2 linked regions of the Lonchura striata genome follow. The protein of the gene in region 1 purifies or fractionates together with the protein of each later gene. This does not show direct contact. Links are inferred from orthologs where the notes say so. Each region holds a gene or a part of one and is shown on either strand. Other genes may lie near its edges. The genes, in order: CASP2 and PIDD1.

Region 1 (10,009 bases):
GGTAAGTAGATGCTAAAACAAATGTGTTTCTTTTTCTTCTATGCATTTAACTACTTTTGCTGTAATAAGGGAAAGCACACAATGTAACATGGAGCTATATAAAAGTGTTTATTTTTTGGAGAAGAATATTAGTAAAAAATATGCCCATTGTGTCATATTTTTTTCCTTCAAAGAGGTCTTCACCAAAACAGTGGGATGGATGTAGGTTAGTGTAATTTGTGCAAGACAGCTCCTTAATTATGATATTCTTGAATACCACAGATCCCAGGTATTCAGTCTGTATTGACTGCACACAGTGACAAGTGCTGTCTCTTTCACACAAATGGGGTTTGGAATGGGAGACAGGAAAGACTCTCATGTCTGAGAACAGAGTAAAAAAAGAAAGCACATCAACAGAGAAGGAACTGTGAATACAGACAACTGCTGAGATAAATGCCTACATTTTACAAAAGCACACATACCCTAGCTACATCCAGAACTGAAAGTTACCTTACTGCTCTAGTGCTACACTGAAGTAAGATGCTGAATTTACCAGGGCAGACAGGCCTATTAAATAATACTGCTTTTATTCTGGGATTTCAACGAATATTTGAATGTTGATTAGACAAGGTACAAATGTCCTAGAATTAACCCTTGTAGTTATTCCGTGTCTTGCTTTTGCAGTAAGCTCAATCTGTATTCTTGTTAAGCTAAGCCTTTTTAGATATGTCTGGTAATAAGTGCTGATGGTCCATTTATGCATTTTATGTTTTGCAACTGTGTCCAAGTATTCCAACTATTTAATATGCACACACACAGGAAATTCAAATATGTTTACATTGGTGTGCACAGATTTCCCAGGCTTATGATGTACATACACTTACTCGTGTGTCTATATTTTTACTTTGATCATAATACTTAGAAATGTGTTTATATGCTCACATTTCACATTGAAAAAACTGTTCCATCTTCCACAGATGTCTGTCCCTTTAAGTGCCCATCTGTTCTCAAGTGCCTGTTACCACCATCCCTTCTACCATGTGGTTAGAGACACGATGGAAGAACATCCGCCAAACCTTGCTGCTTCTGTTCACCTCTGCTCTTCTCATCGGGGTCACCATGCTGGCCATCTCCTCTAACATCAACCCAGTAGGCTACTTCTTCCTCGGGGTAGGGGGAGTGTGCCTGGTAGGCTATTTGCTGAGTGTGTTTGTGGAGTGTTACCTGAGGAATCAACATCGGCATGATGCAAATGAAATACCTCCAAACAGGCAAAGCCAAGCAGGGTAAGCAGCAACCTGGTTACTCCCCTTTAACTCTCTCACCTCACTCATGGCCATTTTAAGCACTCTTTTGCTGTTCTTCCCCTGAGGCACCAAACACAAACTCTATTTCCAAAGACAAAAGTTCTTTTCAGATTTTTTTCCCTCATTACTGATATGGAGGTTGCAAATGTCAACGCCATGCATGTCCTGTGCCTTTTATAATATGAATTTTCTTCTCCCTAGGAACTGATCCGCTAAAACTTTACAATGTTAAACCTATCCAGGCCCATTTTATTTTTCTTTGAGTAATCGAGGCTTGCCAAACAATGAGTCAGACAAGGAAAAAGAAAAAATGTTGAAGCAATACCAAATCTTATTTGGGTTTAACTCTATAAACCTTATCTTTAGAGCAACAGTTTCTTGGCAAACTTTAAGAGAAACCTGTAACTGGGTGTGTTTCTACTCTTAAAATTCCTGTTTGACACTAACAAAACCCCTGAGTTTTAGAGACTCTTGATTACTACCACCTCTTCTTGGCTTCATGTTCATTTGCAGATTCTTAGCATCAACCTAATTTAACCCCAGTTTTCCTACTGTCATTGAAGATCTTAACTCTATATGTAGCCTTGCTTCCTTGCATAATCCAGATAATCATTATCCACGTGCATAAATGACTTGACATTCCCAAATAAAATATTTCTTTTTAGAAAGACTATATAAAAAAGAAGTCTATACTGGGCCCTGCTAGTTTGGGGGCATACTTAAAGAAAACTAATATCCTTTTATTTAAAAATACAACCTGAAAAGGAAAATGTCTCCAAAGTAACATTTTTTTCTTTGCAAATAGTTCTTTTAAACAAAGAATGAGTAGCCCTTGTTTAAACTAAATGAAACTACTTAATTTTCTCCACTTCTTAAAAATGGATGGACATTTAGCTAATATATTTAAAGAATATGTCCTGATTTAGGTTCTTTATTCTATGAGACAACTAGTAGTTAGCAATCCTTAGTGATAAATTTCAACTCTAGGCGGACACCAGGTTAAGCCTAGGACACTGAACTGAACAGTGTGGGTAGCTTCACTAACTCTGAGGAGTGAGGGAAAATGGTCAGATGAGCTACCTTCTACACCAGTAAGAAAGACGTTCAGTTGGCTGGAGAGATGAGCTGATCCAGGGCAGAATATCCTGCACAGCAATTCCATTGTCTCAGTCCCATTTGTTGATTGTAGCATGGTCCCTATTGTCCATGATCCGTACTGTAAACATAAATTATGCAGTAAAATAATGAACGTGTCTGGCATTGCTCTCTGGCACAGGGTGAATGCTGCCTACGAAGCACCCACCTATGAGGAGGTGATGACCATGTCAGCTCCAGCCATATGGACAATTACATCCAACCCAGGCTCTGTGCCCTCGCCGCTGAGCGAGCCTCCCCCGTACAACGTCGTTATTGAATCCTCTGCCCAGCAAGACATGATGGTGGAGGCTCTCCGGGGACCAGTGCCACCAGACACAGTGCACACCTCTGAGACAGACACGGGCTTCAGGACACAGCTGCAGCTGGTGCTGCCTCCAAGACTGCAGCGGTTTGTTTCGGACATCCATGAGAACAAAAATGTTGAAGAAAGGTTTGAACCACTGGAGCCACTCACTCCACCACCTGCTTACGAGACTGCCATCAGTGATGAGGTCTTTGCAGATGCTCACCAGCCCTCTGCATTAGGACTGATTTCACCTTCGATGAACACAGAACCAAACCCCCACCTCAATACAGGATGTTCCTAGAGGGATGGTAAAACAGCAGATAATGTTTTGCTTAAATGTTTGTCTCACAACTCTTTCAACCAGAATTGAACTACAGACACAGCTTCTGCTACAGAATCTTTTTGCACAAAACAGAAATCAATGCAATGCCACACTGCTTTGACTTGGCAGATACACAAAACCACTGTGAGGAAAGTAAACCTCTGAAGAAGGACTGTAGGATGCAGCCAGAAGAATCTGCCTGGAAAAGTGGAGGAATAGAAATAACATTAAGCACATTCTGCCTGTGCATTGCAAACAGCAATATTGCTGAGTGCAGTGTGACTTCAGCCACCCTGAAATCCCTACAGAGAGAACAAGCCTGTGCTTCTTACCTTGCTGTTTTGCAGCAACACAAATTTATGGTCTGAGCTGTTTCTGTCCGTCTGCCACACCTGCTCCACATCCTCAACTGGGCTACATAAAAGTGTGACTGAGGGGAGAGTATCTGACTGCATCTGGAAGCTGGTACCACCTGATTCCTGTCACTTAGGGTTGAAAAGCTGATAGTATGCATCAAATGACTTCTGTTGTTCACAATGTTGTCATCCCACACAGCCAGTGGTGGACAAGAGGGAGATAAGTTTTTCCCCTGCAAGAAAGGCCAGCAATGGGATATATACACATGTAAGCATTCTCTGCTTGGACTTCATGGCTCTACAGCAGGGTTTATGTCTGCTGTATTACAGATGTACTCTAACAGATGGCATGAGACACTTTACTGTCATCATGCACAGAAAGGCCAAAGCTCCTCCAGTTCTCTGTGGGCTCTGAAGAGGTCCAGTCTGTCTGCCAAGGCAGTGGAGTGCCAGAGGACAACACTCCCAAGACATATTTGGCCTTCATCATGATGGTTCTGGGCTGTAGGCGTGTTCTAGCTATCACTGATCTCACTGATGCAGTGCCTTTTTAAATGGGTGAGCTAAACTGATCAGCTCTGCAGTGTCAAAGTGGTCTGCAGTATGCAAAAAGATGCATTTGCATCTAGTGAATGTCCAAATTAAAAAATAAAAATGCTGGAATGAATCTCCTGTGAAGAGAGCAGCAATCATCCCAGACTTGCTCATGACTGCATCTTTAATTCATATGAGGAACCATCAAACCATAGGCTAGAAGCAAATAAATTATTTCTTATTGTTTGATTCTCTATAGTTCAAGGGAGAAAAAAAATAAACCTTTTATGTTGTTTATAAATAAATAGGACTGCATTAAAAATTCCGGGTGGCATCATTAATTTTTCCTCTCAAAGGAAACACTCCACAAAGCCATGCTTTTGCTTGCATTCTGCTTATTTAATAATCTTGACTTAGAAAAGAGAGGATTTTCATTTCTGAATCAGCAGCTGAATCACTTTATTATCATTATTGATGAAGCAATTATGATACCTCAATCATGGAAGCATTAGGAGAGACAAACTTGCTGATCAAGGAAATGTGATTTCTTTAATGTCAATCACTACTTGCATTTCCCTCCTGTATCTGCTCATAGAAAAGAAAAACACCTCACCAAAAGGTGTCACCGGTATGTGACACAGGCACAGAAACTTTGAGTCTTAAATTGTGCAACTCAGGACTTGTCTGAGTACATCAAATTGCCAGGAGTCAGGAAGAAATTCAGGTGGCCAGCACAGACTAAAAACTAGCCAAAACAAAGACCAAAAATGTTACCCGTTATGATCAGTACAATTTTGTCTTCAATATTTCTAAAGGTTGGACTTATGTTAAGCTTTAGCAGATAGAATTCCTGTGCACCCGGACACATGAAATCAGTGTGCTAAAGAGTTATGTGCAGAAGCCATCTGAAGCTTTATATTACTTTTTTTGTTGTTGGGTTTTTTTTTGTTTGTTTTTTTTTGTTTGTTTGGTTGGTTGGTTTTTTGTTTGTTTGTTTGTTTTTTGGTTTTTTTTGTAAGTTGTATGAGGAGCAGCTGTGGGAGCTGGGGTTGTTTAGCTTGGAGAAAAGGAGGCTCAGGGGAGCCCTGAAGGAGGCTGCAGCCAGGTGGGGTTTGGTCTCTTCTCCCAGACAACCAGCAAAAGGGCCAGGGAAATTGGCCTCAAGCTCTGCCAGGGGAGGTTCAGGCTGGACACCAGGAGGAATTTCTTCTCAGAAGGGTTGTCAAGCATTGGAATGGGCTGCCCAGGGAGGTGACGGAGCCACCGTCCCTGGAGGTGTTTAAGGAAAGGCTGGACATGGCACTCAGTGCCATGGTCTAGTTGCCATGGTGCTGTTCGGTCAAAAGTTGGACTTGGTGGTCTCAGAGGTCTTTTCCAACTGATTTTTCCAATTTATTCTGTAACGACAGCTGAGAATTTGCTTTCGCTAGGGTGCTCGCTTGACCTTCCCTTTGTATTTCCCTTCGTGTTTCTCCGCACCATTCCTCCCTCCCTGTTAGTTACAGCACGTTGTCATTTCTGATTGCAGCTGATCGCCGCAGAAACCCTTCTCAGCAGAGGCAGAGAAACTAAAATAGGTTAAAAATATAAGATCAAAAAAACAACCCGGAGGCGCTGGGCTTCCCAGGAAAGCCGCAGCCCCGGCCCCGCAGCCCTGAGGGGGCGCGCGCAGCCCGCGCAGGAAGAGGCGGGAAAGCGCTCCCGCCGCGGCGGCGGTGACGTGCGGGCGGGAAGCGCGTCCCGCCGTTTGAATCGCGGGGGCCGCCGGGAGAAGGCGGGACGCGCGCTCTTTCCGCCCGCGCGTCGTCAGGCGGCGGCCGCGGCCCGCGGGGTCCCGCCGGCGCGGTCGGCCGGGGGCACGGCCGGCTCCTTGCCGCGGCGCCCGCCCGCGGTGCCCCCGCTCCTCCCAGGATGCTGGCGGCGTGCGGCATGCAGCGGTGCCACCAGGAAGCGCTCAAGAAGAACCGGGTGATGCTGGCCAAGCAGCTGGTGTTGAATGTGCTGGTGGAGCACATGGTAGAGAAAGATATCATCACCACGGAGATGGTGGAAATGATACAGGTACGCGGGTTGCCGCCTGCGCCGTGAGCTTGGTTTCTGGCTGAGCTCGGTGTCGTTCCTTGCGGTGGCGGCATGGAAAAAACTCACTTGTTACCTGCACGTTTCGGTGTGATCGCACTCAGAGGAGCTGCAGGGGTTTGGTTGCAGAGTGCAGAACTGTCAGGTGCTTTTGTAGGAAGGAAAAGTGCGTTTTTTCTAAGATTCCCTGTGTTCTCTTGTGCAGTTGCAGCAGGCTGCACTTAGTGGATCGGGTGGTAGCTTCCAGTCCTTTATTGCAGTTGCATGCTTATCTTATTTCTTCCACGTGTAGAAGCAGGAATAATATGTATTTCCAAAATAATACTCTGAAAATAAGTAAATGTATATGTTACGTGCCGGTTTGTTGTGGCACCTTCCACATAAAGAACAGGTGTTTCCTATATGTTTTTGTAAATTGCGTGAAGTGCATTTCAAGGCTCACTGTCAAATAACAAATGCTGTTTGTTTGTAGGGTTGTTAGTTTCCCTGTGCAGTGGGTACTGTGGAGAGAAGTCATTGGAAATAGCTTGGGATTTCTCCCAGAGGGATGCTAATGCATAGAACACTGTGCAGGATGAACATAAAGGTCTTCAGAGAAAGCAGGCTGGAAAGAAAGTGGTTGAAAGTGCACAAGTGCATGCCAGGGCTCAAGTAAGGAACTGAAGGAGTTTTTAGTCCCCTAGCAAAGTTCATGGTCCCATAATAAAGAACGTAGGCTGAAAAATAGGATTATGAACTGGTTTTTTGGGCATGAGTGTAGAAAATGCAAACCTGAGACTGATAAGGTTTTGATAGCAGTGAAAAGATAACTTCCTGATTAATTTTTGAGTCATGGTCAAAGATGATGTGAATCACTTTGCATACTTTGACGCAATGTCAAAGATAATGTTAGATGCCTCATAGGGCCTGTTAAGGATATCAGTGCTGGATTGTGGGAGCTCCAGGCAATCTCACCTGAAATAGCTCCCATCCCTAGTGGAAGAGAACAAAGATACCATGAAACACTGCAAGCCAGAGAATGAATCAAGGATTTTTCTGGGTTCGGGCTGGAGCAGTTAATTTCTTCATAGTAGGGGTATGGGGGTGTGTTTTGGATTTGTGCTGGAAACAGTGTTGTTAATGTTTTAGTTATTGTTGAGCAGTGCTGATCCAGAGCCAAGGCTTTTTCTTCTCACCCCACCAGCAATGCTGGAGGTGCACAAGAAATTGGGAGGGGCCACATCCGAGACAGCTGACCCCAACTGACCCAAGGGATATCCCACTCCATTTGGTGTCATGGTCAGCATGTAAAGGTAGGGGAAACTGAGTGACAGAGCATGGTACTAATCATGCCAGGGTCTTGGGTTTAATCTGTGTAGGGGCCATTCACTTAAGAGCTGGACTCAGTAGTCCTTGTGGGTCCCTTCCCACTCAGAATATTCTGTGAGTCTGAGTCACCACTGTGAGTGCTGGAGCCCTGCTGTCCTTGGAATGGCTGTACTCCTGGCCGCCAACAGGAAGTAGTGGATTAATTATTTGTTTTTCTTTGTTCTGTGGCTTTTGCTTTGCCTATTAAGCCATCTTTATCTCAGCTTTTCTCACTTTTATTCTTTGGATGCTCCCCACCATTCCACTGGGGAGGAGGTAATTGAGTGTCTGGTGCTTAGCAGCCCACAGGGGTTAAGCAGCAGCATTGCTGAAGTGTGAATGGTGAGTAGGGGTGGGCTTTTGATGGCCTGCACTTTGTCACCTAATAGGAAGCCGGGAGAAGGGAAGAAAAGGCAAAAAAAAGATCCTCTCAAACTTATGGTAGTGATAGAGAAAGTACTCTTTTTGGCAAGGTGCTGTTGTAGGGGAAAATTATTAAACTGAGACAGAAGGGAAGAAGTCTAAAGGAATCTTCCCCTCTAGATGTAATTGAGTAAAAGGGAATGCAACAATACTTAGTAGTGGGTTATCAGTAAGGAGAGAGGTGTTATGATGGATATGTCAGGTAAAGAGTAATAGCTCAGTGGAAAAATTATGCCTAATACAATAAACACACCTAATAAGTGCTTAAATGTGTATAAATAGCAGTAGCAGGCTGAGCAAGAGAACAGAATGACTTGAACTACTGTTTCAGGGCATTGATCTGGAAATTGCAACAAAAATAGAAATATGGCAGAGTTGGAAGGAAAGCTGGATCTGCAGATTATGCATTGTACTGGAAGGATAAAAATGAAGGGACTTTTTACTGAATAGTCCTAGACAGTGGTATGGAGAAAAAGTAAAATGTGTTTTAAAAAAAAATCACTTGAATGGAAAACACTGTCTTACCTTTTGATCTTCCTGTGGTAGGTCTGTAAATTTTTAATATTCTTCCTGTCTCTGGCTAATGTGAGGACAGGTCTTAGGAGTGCTGTTAAGTAGCCTGTTATTGAAAATGTATTGTGATGATGATTGCCAGGTACTTTAATGGAAACAGGAGGAGCCAAATGCCATTGTCTGATGAAAGAGAATATATTCTCCTGTATATATATGGATATTATAACTGACTGGTTCTATATATATCCTCCTGCACCCCCAATAAGTCAGAAAATAAAGATCTGGATACATAGTTATGTTTTAATCATCTTTTCTTAAAAACACAACGGTTACACTGGTCCTGTTGGCTTAATTTAAGGTAAACAAAAGAAGAAAATGGAAAATTTTCTGGAAATAGAAAATTCTGGAAATAGAGTGTTTAAGTAAATTTCTGTAATCTAAGGAAAGTGAAATAAGTCAAGGAGCTCAGGGAGATGAGCCATGACATTTTTTCCAAGTATGAGTTGTCAAACCAGTACTGAAACTTTACCCCAAGTAAGAAAAAGATGGGAGGGGGAGTGTGTTCCAGGAAGAGCCACTGAAGGCAAAGGTGGTTGAACTGGATGAGGAGCTCATAAGGAATATGAAGAGTAAGTAGAGAGTTTATAGGTGTACAACATTGGAGAAGAATCAGTAAGTAGAAGCTGCTTCCTTTGATGTCTGAAATGTGGGGAGATAGTAGGATCTGACAGCATTGAATTTAAATTAGGTCATTCAGAAAGATATTAAATCATGGGAGTTTTTTTCCACAATATATACTTTCAATAAAGTGTAAAGAAAAAAAGTGTGTTTACTTTGTAGTGAAAATGATGTTATAATTATCTAGGTGAAAACAAGAAGAGGGGGGTTTCAAACACGGGGGCAATTATTTTGGAAATAAAATGGGACAGTGGAAACAGCTGTTCTTAAGGCAAGCTCCAACATCTATTTGCATAAATGCCTTCTTGTCAGAGCATCAGATATTCTTCCAGAGCTCTGGGCTGCACTTTTAAAATTGCACATATGGTAGCAAGAGCTTTCTTGCTTTTTAAACAAATTGAGTACTCTGTACTGTAATCAAAGACTGAGATTATATATATACAGAAATTTAAATACTCTCTTGATACTAGATAGTAATGAAAGGATCACTGTTTTTGACAAGTGAGAAAAATTTGATTAGAATGTTTGTCAATTTTATATGCTTTTTCTATGGATTCTGCAGGTGTATAATAAGACTAATATGGAATTTTGACAGGACTTCAGAATTAATTTACAATTAGTTTCTGTTATGCCAATTATCAAACCCATCTAGAGGGGAAAGAAATAAATTAGGGATGTACTGGGAAATGAAATGAAAGAAGTTATCTTACTAATTTCTGAATGTTTGCTGAACATTATTTAGCATAACCAAAATGTGATGTTGAAGATGAAGTCATATCATGAAGCACAGCCCTTTGAGTGTTTAAGGAAGCATTAAGGAAGAAGTCTGCCAAAAGCTGACTGCTGTGCATACAAAGTGCAGAATATGAACATTCTGGAAATTTAACTTTTCAATAAAACTAACAATCTGGTTCTTGAAGTCAGTTTCTATTTTTAACTATCATTTATAGCTTAGTCACAGACTGTGAAAAAGATGAATGACTTTAGCTTGTCTCAAAACAGCTGCAAGAAGGAAGAAAAATTCATT
Region 2 (9,330 bases), on another chromosome or scaffold:
GTAGACCAATAGGAGGCAACGGGAACACTGAAGCAAAGGAAACGGCTCCAGTGTGTGGTACTGGCTGGGACATCTGGAATTAAGAGGCAACTCCACCTTGTTCATGCGTTCATCGTCCGTCTCGATGCCGACGCTGTCGAGGATCTTTTTCAAGTCCTTGGACGTGGGGGACTCGTTGCCCCCGAGCACGGCGAGCAGATAAGCTGCGACGTAACGCATCCTGCGAGACAGGGGAGCAGCGTTTCGGCACGGCCGAGCTCCGTGCGCTCGGAGGCGCTCATCCCTTCTCCCTCCGAGCCACAATCCCTTGGCTCCGCTTCCAGAGCGCCCGCGCCCGCCCGGCCGCGCTCCGCACTGTGCCAGCACGGGGCCGGCACGCGGCGGCCCGCACCCCTCTCCCGAAGAGAGAGCGAAGCGGCAGCGCGGCATCGTCCCTCCGGTGTCCGCTCAGCCCGGCCCGGCCCGTCCCGGGCGCAGGCCGGGAGAGCACATGGCCGCCGTTCTCCCATCCTACCCACCACCCCCCCCCCCCCCCCGCCACGAATGATCCGGCCCGAGCCCCGCGCGGCGGCGGCGGCCGGCGCGGGGCCGGACGGCACCACTGCCGCGGAGGGGGGCGCGGCGCGCGCTCACCTGGGCGGCGGCGGCGGCGCGGGACGGCGGCCTGGGACGTGCGCGCGCGAGGGCAGGCGGAGGCGAAAGGAAGGGGCGGGGCCTCGGCAACGCCTTCTTCCCGCCACCCCTCAACAACGAGCGCTGCCATTGGGCCGCACCGGCGGGCAGCGCGCAGGCCAATGGGGAACCGCGGGTGCGGCCGCCGCCAGCGCGGCCGGCGGCGCATGCGCAGAGCGTGGGGTGCCCGCTGTGTGCTGCTGCGCGGCCTTGTTGTGTGTGCTGGGATGGGTGTGGTTCCCCAAAATCACGGAGTCACAGAGTGAATGAGACTGGAAAACACCGCTGCGACCATCCAGGCCAACCTCTTACCGAATACCACTCTGTCAGCTAGAACATGGCACTGAGTGCCACATTCAATCTTTCCTTAGACACCTCCAGCACCACCAGTCCCGGGCAGCCTGTTCCAAAGCCTGACCACTCTTTCTGTGGAGAAATTACTGCTGATGTTCAACCTAAACCTCTCCTGGCACAGCTTAATACTGTCCTCCAATTCTGGAATCCTGGCCTGGCCTGGCAGGATCAGCACAATCCCCTCTCTTTGTCCCATCAGTTGGGTTCTGCCTCCATGTGCACATCAGGCACATTCACACACAGTCTTCATATTTGCTTATTTTGTATCAGTGCAGAGATGGGCAGTGGGTGATGAATCCAGAAAGTCAGTGCCTGGCTCTGCATTTCTTCATGGAAAGGGTGGTCAGGCATTGGAAAAAGCTCCCCAGGGAGGTGGTGGAGCCATTGTCCCAGAGGTGTTCTGGGAACAGCTGGATGTACTAGTTAGCTTTGGTCTAGTTGGTCAGTGGTGGAACTTAATGATCTTGGAGTGGCCGGCAGGATTAGGGAAGTGAGCATCCCTCTGTACTTGGCACAAGTGAGGCCACCCCTCGAGCCCTGTGTCCAGTTCTGAGCCCCTCACTTCAATACAGACATTGAGGTGCTGGAATGTGTCTGGAGAAGGGCAATGGAGCTGGCAAAGGGTCTGGAGCACAAGTCTTGTGAGGAGCAGCTGAGGGAGTTGGGGGTGTTTAGCCTGGAAAAAGTGGGCTCAGGGGTGACCTTAGCACTTTGTACAGCCACCTGAAAGGAGGTTGTAGAAAGGCAGGGTTTAACCTCTTCTCCCAGGCAATTAGCAACAGGAAAAGACCTCAAACTGTGTCAGGAAAGGTTCAGCTTATATATTCAGAAGAATGTCTTCACACAAAGGGTGATTAGACATTGGAATAGACTGCCCAGGGCAATGGTGGAATCATCTTCCCTAGAGGTGTTTAAGGAAAGACTGGACGTGGTACTCAGTGCCATGGTCTAGTTGTCATGGGTTGGACTGAATGACCTTGGAGGTCTTTTCCAATCTGAGTAGCTTTGTGGTTCTGTGAAATACCTCAGCTCCATGTGTGGATCGGCTTCTTGCACACTGGGTGACAGAACCCGCTTGTGGGACAGCAGGGCTCTGTGCAGGAGGGACAGGGCTGCTGTCCTGTGCTGGGAGGCTGGGAGGTGGTAATCCATGGCAAGGTCTCGCCATAGGATTATGGGAGTCACCACCTGTGCTTGTTCACTTGATTTCCTGCACTGAGGAAATTAATAGAAGTAAAAAGTTAACACTGCGCTGAAAGCCATTGGACCCAAACAAACCAGGAGTGCTGGTTCAGCAGCAGAGCTGTGTGTGGGCTGTGGCTGTCCCTGCCTTGCTGCCCTGGAGGTGCCCCAGAGATCCTCAGTGTTGGGGCTTCTGTGCTAGTTCAGGTGCTCTCAGAAAACAACCAGGCTCAGAGTGCTACAACTCAGCCAGAGCCTGGAGTAGTCAGTGGTTACTGTCTACTATGTGTAGGAAGAGGAATTTCCCTCAGCCACGTGCAGCTTGCATCCAGAGTCCCAGAATGAATTCAGTTGGGAAGGTCTTCTGAGACCTTCAAGTCCAACCTGTGACCAAACACCACCTTGTCAACTAGACCATGGCACTGAGTGCCACATCCAGTCCTTCCTTAAACGCTTCCAGAGATGGTGACTAGATCAGTTCCCCGGGCATGTCGTTCTAATGCCTGAGCACCCTTTCTATGAAGAAATTCTTCCTGATGTCCAGCCTGAACCTGGACATCAGCTGGAGAGCATGTCCTCCTGTCCTGTCGCTTGTTTCTTGGGAGAAGAGGCTGAACCCCACCTGGCTACAAACCTCCTTTCAGGGCAGCCCCAGCCCTGCGCACTCTTAGGCTCGCAGCCCCTGCTCCATTTCTCTCCCTGGAATGAGCACAACCCCCGGCGGTGCCCGTGCCTCCCTCTCCCTTGGAGCCTAGGGGAGCCAGACGGGACGGGCTGCGGTGCCGGGACCGTGGCCGTGTCGGGAAATCTCCTTTCGTGCCCTTGCTGTGGCAGCAGGAAGGGCACGGCTCCCCATAGCAGCCGGCCGATGTCCCGCTGCCTCCAGCGCCTCCCCCGCGCCGTCCCGCCCCGGATCGCGGCGCGGCTCCCAAGAACTTTTCAGGAAGTGGCGGGCAGAGCCCGGCGCAGCCCAGCCCCGGCGGGCCGGGGCCGCTGCGGAGGGGTGAGAGCGGCGGGGCCGTGCTCGGCCGGGCACGGGGCGCGCCTGCGGCTGCTGCCGGGACCTGGGCAGCGGCGTGGGGTGACGGGCCAGGGGCACAGCGTGCTGCGGACAGCCCGGCCCGGCTGTGCGTGTCCGTGTGCGGGGTGTGTGTCCGTGTCTGTGTGCGGGGTGTGTGTGTCCATGCGGGGGGCTGTGTGTGTCCATGTGCGGGGTGCGTGTCCGTGTGCGGGGCTGTGTGTGTCCGTGTGCAGGGCTGTGTGTGTCTATGTGCGGGGTGTGTGTGTCCGTGTGCGGGTGTGTGTGTCCGTGTGCGGAGTGTGTGTCTATGTGCGGGGTGTGCGTGTCCATGCGCGGGGCTGTGTGTGTCCATATGCAGGGTGTGCGTGTCCGTGTGCGGGGTGCGTGTCCGTGTGCGGAGTGTGTGTCTGTGTTCGGGCTGTGTGTGTCCACGCGCGGGGCTGTGTGTGTCCATGTGCAGGGTGCGTGTCCGTGTGCGGGGTGTGTGTCCATGTGCAGGGTGCGTGTCCGTGTGCGGGGTGCATGTCCGTGTGCGGGGTGCGTGTCCGTGTGCGGAGTGTGTGTCTGTGTTCGGGCTGTGTGTGTCCACGCGCGGGGCTGTGTGTGTCCATGTGCAGGGTGCGTGTCCGTGTGCGGGGTGTGTGTCCATGTGCAGGGTGCGTGTCCGTGTGCGGGGTGCATGTCCGTGTGCGGGGTGTGTGTGTGTGTCTATGTGCGGGGTGTGTGTGTCTGTGTGCGGGGTGTGTGTGTCCGTATGCGGGGTGTGTGTGTCCGTATGCGGGCTGTGTGTGTATGTGCGGGCTGTGTGTCCGTGTGCGGGGTGCGTGTCTGTGTGCGGTGTGTGTGTGTCCATATGCGTGGTGTGTGTGTCCGTGTGTGGGGTGTGTGTCCGTGTGCAGGCTGTGTGTCTGTGTGCGGGTGTGTGTCCACGTGCAGGGCTGTGTGTCCATGTGAAGATGTGTGTTTCAGAGTGTCTGCAGCACCATGTCTACCCATGTCTGTTGCCCCTGAGGCCGCCTCTGTGGCTTCTGGAGATGCCCTCTGGTTCCTTCACCACTGACAGTTTTACAAAGCTATAGCTGATGGATTTTATTCTTACATGTGTCTGTAAGGGGGATATGTACATGTTGTGCACAATGTCTTTGTAAGAAGTGCTCACCTTTATACTAAAGCAGTAGTTTCACTTTTATCCCATTGGCACTCAGTTTCTCAAACCAGGTTCAACGAGGACCCAGTACAATTTGTGAGCTGCCTCTGGGCTCTGCTTCCTCTTCTTCTTGCCTTTACATTTCTGTCCTTTCAGAGTGAGGCATTTCTGCTGCTTCAGGGGATGACGCCTCCCCCAGACTGTGTCTTGGGAACATCAGTGCTGCCATGTCCCACAGGCTAACAGTAAAGGTGCTGCTCCTCAGGGTGTTGCTGGGGCATTATCTTCTTTCTGCTGGCCTTGGACTTTAAAGCCAAGTTTGTTCTAATTCTGCATTACTCAAAAGAAACTTCTGTTTACCAGTTTGATCCATGGCAGGGTTAACAAAGAGCTCCTGATATTCACACTGTGAGCTAGTTTAATTGCCCAGCTCAGGAGGTGTTACTCCTGCACCACCAACATGCCTTTTCTAACCCTCTTGCTGCCCCTATCACATTTTCTCTGCTGCCCTTTGTCCATTTGCTTTTATCCCATTGACACTGGGTTTCACAACCGGGTTTGATGGGGACCTGTCACAGTCTGTCACCTCTGGGCTCTGCTTCTGGCTCAGCTCTCCCTGCCCCAGTTTTCTTCTCTACTTGTAAAGCTTCCTACTAAGGCATCTTGAAATCTACATTAGGCGTAGGCATTTACATTTGTGTCTTTTAAAGTTAATATTGGTCTTTATTCTGATGGTGCATAATTGCTCCATTTCCTGCTGAGATGTTGGCTGGAAAAATTCAGAGGTTTTTCTCTAGGAGGAGAAGCCCCTGTGACATCTGTCATGTTGCATTTCTGTGCTCTTTGCTCCAAAGCTTTCAGTAGCATGCATGTAATCTTTCCTACCATCTTGCTGTGATTATGAACTGTTTCCAGCCACTCTGGACTGGGGCAGGAAGCTTCATTGTGTACCTGTGTTCTTTTTCAGAGCCATCTTTGCTCCTCTCCTTGTCCCAGCTGCCTTGTGGTGCTGCCAGTGCCTGCCTGCCTGGCAAGTCAGAGCATGTCTAGACCCTGTGGATGAGATGCAGAAGATGGCAGAGCTGCTGGGGCTCAGGGATGAGTGTGAGGAGGGGACTGTGGGGGCTCCTGCCCTCGCTGGCTCCTGCCTTGCTGACAACAGACTGAACCTGGATGTTTATCCTGACGGCTGCCGCCGTTTCCTCCAGCTATTCAAGGAGCAACAGGGAGAGGTGGTCCAGGTTGAGTTCCTCCGGCTCAGCAGCAACGATTGCCTCCTTGACACCACACTGGGCAGCCTTCCTCATCTGAAGCACCTGAAATCCCTGGTGCTTAAAGGTAAATTCTGGGGTCCGTCGCCATCCAGCTTTTCTAAGCTCATATTTTTTATCCTTCTCTCCATATCTGCAGGACAAACTGTCCTTGGAAGTGTTTTGTTCCAGTGCCCCTTACCTCAGCTTTGGCTCAGCCTTGCTCAGAGCTGAATGCAGATTTCAACATGATACAGCTTCTGGACTCTTATTTCCTCCCTTTGTTTTTACAGCTGCCTGGGGACTGGGTTTTTGGAGTCTCGTTCAGTTGATGCTGCAGCATTTTCTATAGCCATTCTCTAGAAGAAGAGCATTTTTGCAGTTATGCAAGAAGAGGGATTGAAAGGTGTTGAATCTTTTGGTGAATGTTCAGCCCCTATTTAGTCTTGCTTAGTGTAAGTTTAGCAAAGTTCAAGACAGACCAGAAAATGCTGTTTGACATTTTATGTAAAGTAGGACACAGGGTGTGCATGTAATTTAGAAAAGTGTGATAACTGTTAGAGCTATAAATATTAGATCATTCTTGGACTGTCTCATCAATTTATTGTGGTAGGATCTCAATACAACAAGCATTGTTTCTGTGTCAGACTGAATAATTTGCTCTTTGGGAGGTAGAATTTTAAAAATAAATGAGAAAAAAAAGGGGAGTTTTGGGGCAGAATTCAGGGTTCCAGCTGAAAACTGAAAAGTCTAAGGTTTGCTTCTATATCTGTCATAAATTTTCATGTGAATAATTTGATTTGTGTTTTCCCCCTTTAGTAAGGTGGCAATAACAGCAGTAACCTTTATCAGTCTTGTTTTGTGAGATGTACACACACCCTGAGCATTCTGAAGTGCAATAAAGTAGTTCAGTAAGATCTTATGTACAAAGTGCAATGTGCCTAGTTCAGTAAGCTCTTATGTACAAAGTGCAATGTGCCTATTTGCTTGTTCTCATTTTGTACCATTATGCAGCATAAAAAAATGTTTGGTGCCCTCTGCTGTATATGGATATAAATAGAAAACAGTAGAGAAGGAGTATGAAACAATGAATAAGTGGAACATTTGGAAGTTTCCTTTTGTTTGCTCAAGTTATTTTCCAGGGCTGCAGCCCTTCTCTAACTTGAGTGTCACAAGCTGGGATACGGAACTTTCATTCTTTGCTCTCTGTGTCTGCCTACAAAATACTGAATTACCTACTTCCCCCACACACATTTTCACTGCTTTCCTCCTGTCTGCCTAGAAAATACTGAATTACTTGCTTTTTCCTCCCGCATTTTCCCTGCTCAGACGTGCCCCCCAGTCTTGCAAGGGCAGATACCAGTCCTCAGGGCTGTTTGCTTCTGAACAGCATGGATAAATCATTGAGGGCAAGGACTATTTCCTTGATCCAGAAAGTCTTGTGCGTTGGCCACTGGTAGTGAGGAAGAAGTGAGGAAGGAGAGTGGGAGGCTTGGAGGTATATGGGCCATCCTGCTGAAGTGTGGTAAATGTGTGGGGTGGCGTGGCTCATTCTGAGCTTTCACTCCAGATGTGTTGAACAGAGCTGTACTGGTTCACTGTGGTATCTCCTGGTTTCATAACAGCTCTTCACTGTTACACTCCTTTCACTGATCAGGAAACAGGCACGGAGCAGAAAACTCACTTATCTGAGCACTTTGTGATTAGTGCTGCTCATTGTTATCAGTAACTCCCAATCTTGTGAATCTCTGTGCTGAGTCTCACATGAGGCTGGTGAGCTCTCCTGGTAGCATACTGACCTCTTCCATTTCCCTCCACCCAGGTGGCCTTGCTAGGGATGAGTTTGGTTCCTATCAACATGGCTCCCTGACAAGCTTGCCACCTGACTTTGGGGACCTCAGGTGTCTTACCCACCTGGATCTCAGCTTCAATAGACTCTCCACCTTGCCGAGCTGCATTCTCCACCTCCCCAGCCTCCGTGTGCTCCTGGTGAGCCACAACAGCCTGATGACACTTCCTGAGGACTTTGGCTCTCTGAGTAAACTGACTTTCTTCTCTGCAATGAAAAATCAGCTGAAAGACTTACCTCAGAGCATTGGGGAGCTGTCATTGCTGCAGGATCTGGATCTCTCAGAAAATGCTTTGGAACTGCTCCCTGAAGAAGTTGGGAATCTGCACAACTGTACAGAGCTGGATCTCTCTGGGAATCGCTTATTAAGCATCCCAGAATCCCTAGGTATGTATTTTATTGGGGAAGAGAAGGACGTGGGCTTTGCCAAGCTTTTGGTACAACCTCTGAGACTCTTGGTCTCTACCCCAGAGCTGTTAGCATAAACTATTTTATGTTGGAGCCAAATGGAAGGGGTATGCAGAAGGATACTGCTTGGTTCAGTCAGTGCCTTTGAGCATTAACAACTCTGGATCACACTTCCTGTTTCTGTGAATCATAAACACTGCTGAAATTTCAATACAATTTACAATGACTGAGGATCTGGCCTGGCTGGTTTTGGGTAGCAGAAGAGCTGAGGTTGGTGGGATGAGAATCTGGGCTTGAAATCACACTGTCCAGTGTGGACCAGTCCACAGAACTGGGCCCTGACTTCTGCTGGCCAGCATCCTGGGTCCTGTATTACTTTGTGACTGAGGCTGATTTTGCTGCTGTTAAGCTTTTGTGCTTTTCCCTCATTATGTGTGTGTTGACATGGGCTGAGGAGAGAGGGTTGGAGCTGATATGCAATGCAATTAACAGCACGGATGGGGGGTCATTTCTTGTTCCAACCTGCAGCCAATTTGAAGTCTCTGCGTCGGCTGCATCTCCACAGCAATCTCCTGGTGACAGTCCCTGCCTCTCTTGCCAGCCTGCCCAACTTGTCCAGACTTGATCTGCAGAACAACTCCCTCCGTGCCATCCCTGCTGAGATCCAGGCCCTGCCGTTTGTGCACGTCCGAGGCAATCCCTTGGGAGAAACGGAGCCATCCCCGAAGGCTGGTAATTGCAAGGCTTCTGCTGCTGTGTGTTCTGCCCAGCTGTTCCCTCACTCAGCCCAGCAGGGTGTAGATGGGTTTGGATTAGAGAAGACAAGCAGGGGGGAATCAGTTCAGCAGTTATTTCTCTGGAATAATTATGAAGTTGTAAGGATACAGACAGTATTAGTTATGTCTTTATGAGGCCTATACCAGTCTGAAGGGCTCAGGAGTCCCTGGAATTGGGCTTTCTTGGTAGGGTTTCACAGTGGAAGTAAAAATGGGACTCACAGGAAACATATCAGGAGAGGTCCCTAAAGGGGTCCAGCCTTCTTAGCAGAGGTGAGCACCAGTTCTTGGACTTGCTGCTTGGCCCTAAGGCTGTGGTGGCTTATGCTAGAACCTCAGAGAACAGCAAGAGGTCATTCTGTGCAGTTGCCTCCTGCTTTCCTGAGGTTCACAGGCTGCAGAGGAACAGCTCCTTATCCAAGAGGAAGGTGATGAAATGAGCAGTATTCTGAGCAGGGTCTCCCAATGATGCTCATGTTCACAAGAGCAGGCACTGATTCCCAGGATTGCCCCAGGCAATCAAACATGGCCCTGGGAGCTGCAGAGGAAAACTGAAATATTTTTGAATTCCCTCTGCTTCTGAGTTTCCCTGGGGGAGAGCGAGCATTTTCAGTATGTCCTGGAACCTCGAAGCCACATGCCATCCTCTTGCTGCTGTGTGTTCTGGGGCC

The links.
Region 2: the proteins of CASP2 (region 1) and PIDD1 purify together in Homo sapiens (affinity purification with western blotting; 5 studies listed by BioGRID and IntAct, with this or other methods). This does not show direct contact. The link is inferred for Lonchura striata from reciprocal best matches to the Homo sapiens genes CASP2 and PIDD1.

What each region holds. Positions count from the first base shown.
Region 1 is NC_134604.1:30,172,218-30,182,226, reverse strand, and holds the start of CASP2 (caspase-2), read left to right. Parts: upstream 1-5,843; 5' UTR 5,844-5,853; coding exon 5,854-6,003; intron 6,004-10,009. Other genes in the region: TMEM139 (transmembrane protein 139), read left to right, coding at 1,018-1,265, 2,563-3,031. UniProt on the Homo sapiens protein: Is a regulator of the cascade of caspases responsible for apoptosis execution. Might function by either activating some proteins required for cell death or inactivating proteins necessary for cell survival.
Region 2 is NC_134608.1:44,801,731-44,811,060, reverse strand, and holds the start of PIDD1 (p53-induced death domain-containing protein 1), read left to right. Parts: upstream 1-5,393; 5' UTR 5,394-5,440; coding exon 5,441-5,714; intron 5,715-7,448; coding exon 7,449-7,862; intron 7,863-8,411; coding exon 8,412-8,615; intron 8,616-9,330. Other genes in the region: RPLP2 (large ribosomal subunit protein P2), read right to left, coding at 97-219. UniProt on the Homo sapiens protein: Component of the DNA damage/stress response pathway that functions downstream of p53/TP53 and can either promote cell survival or apoptosis.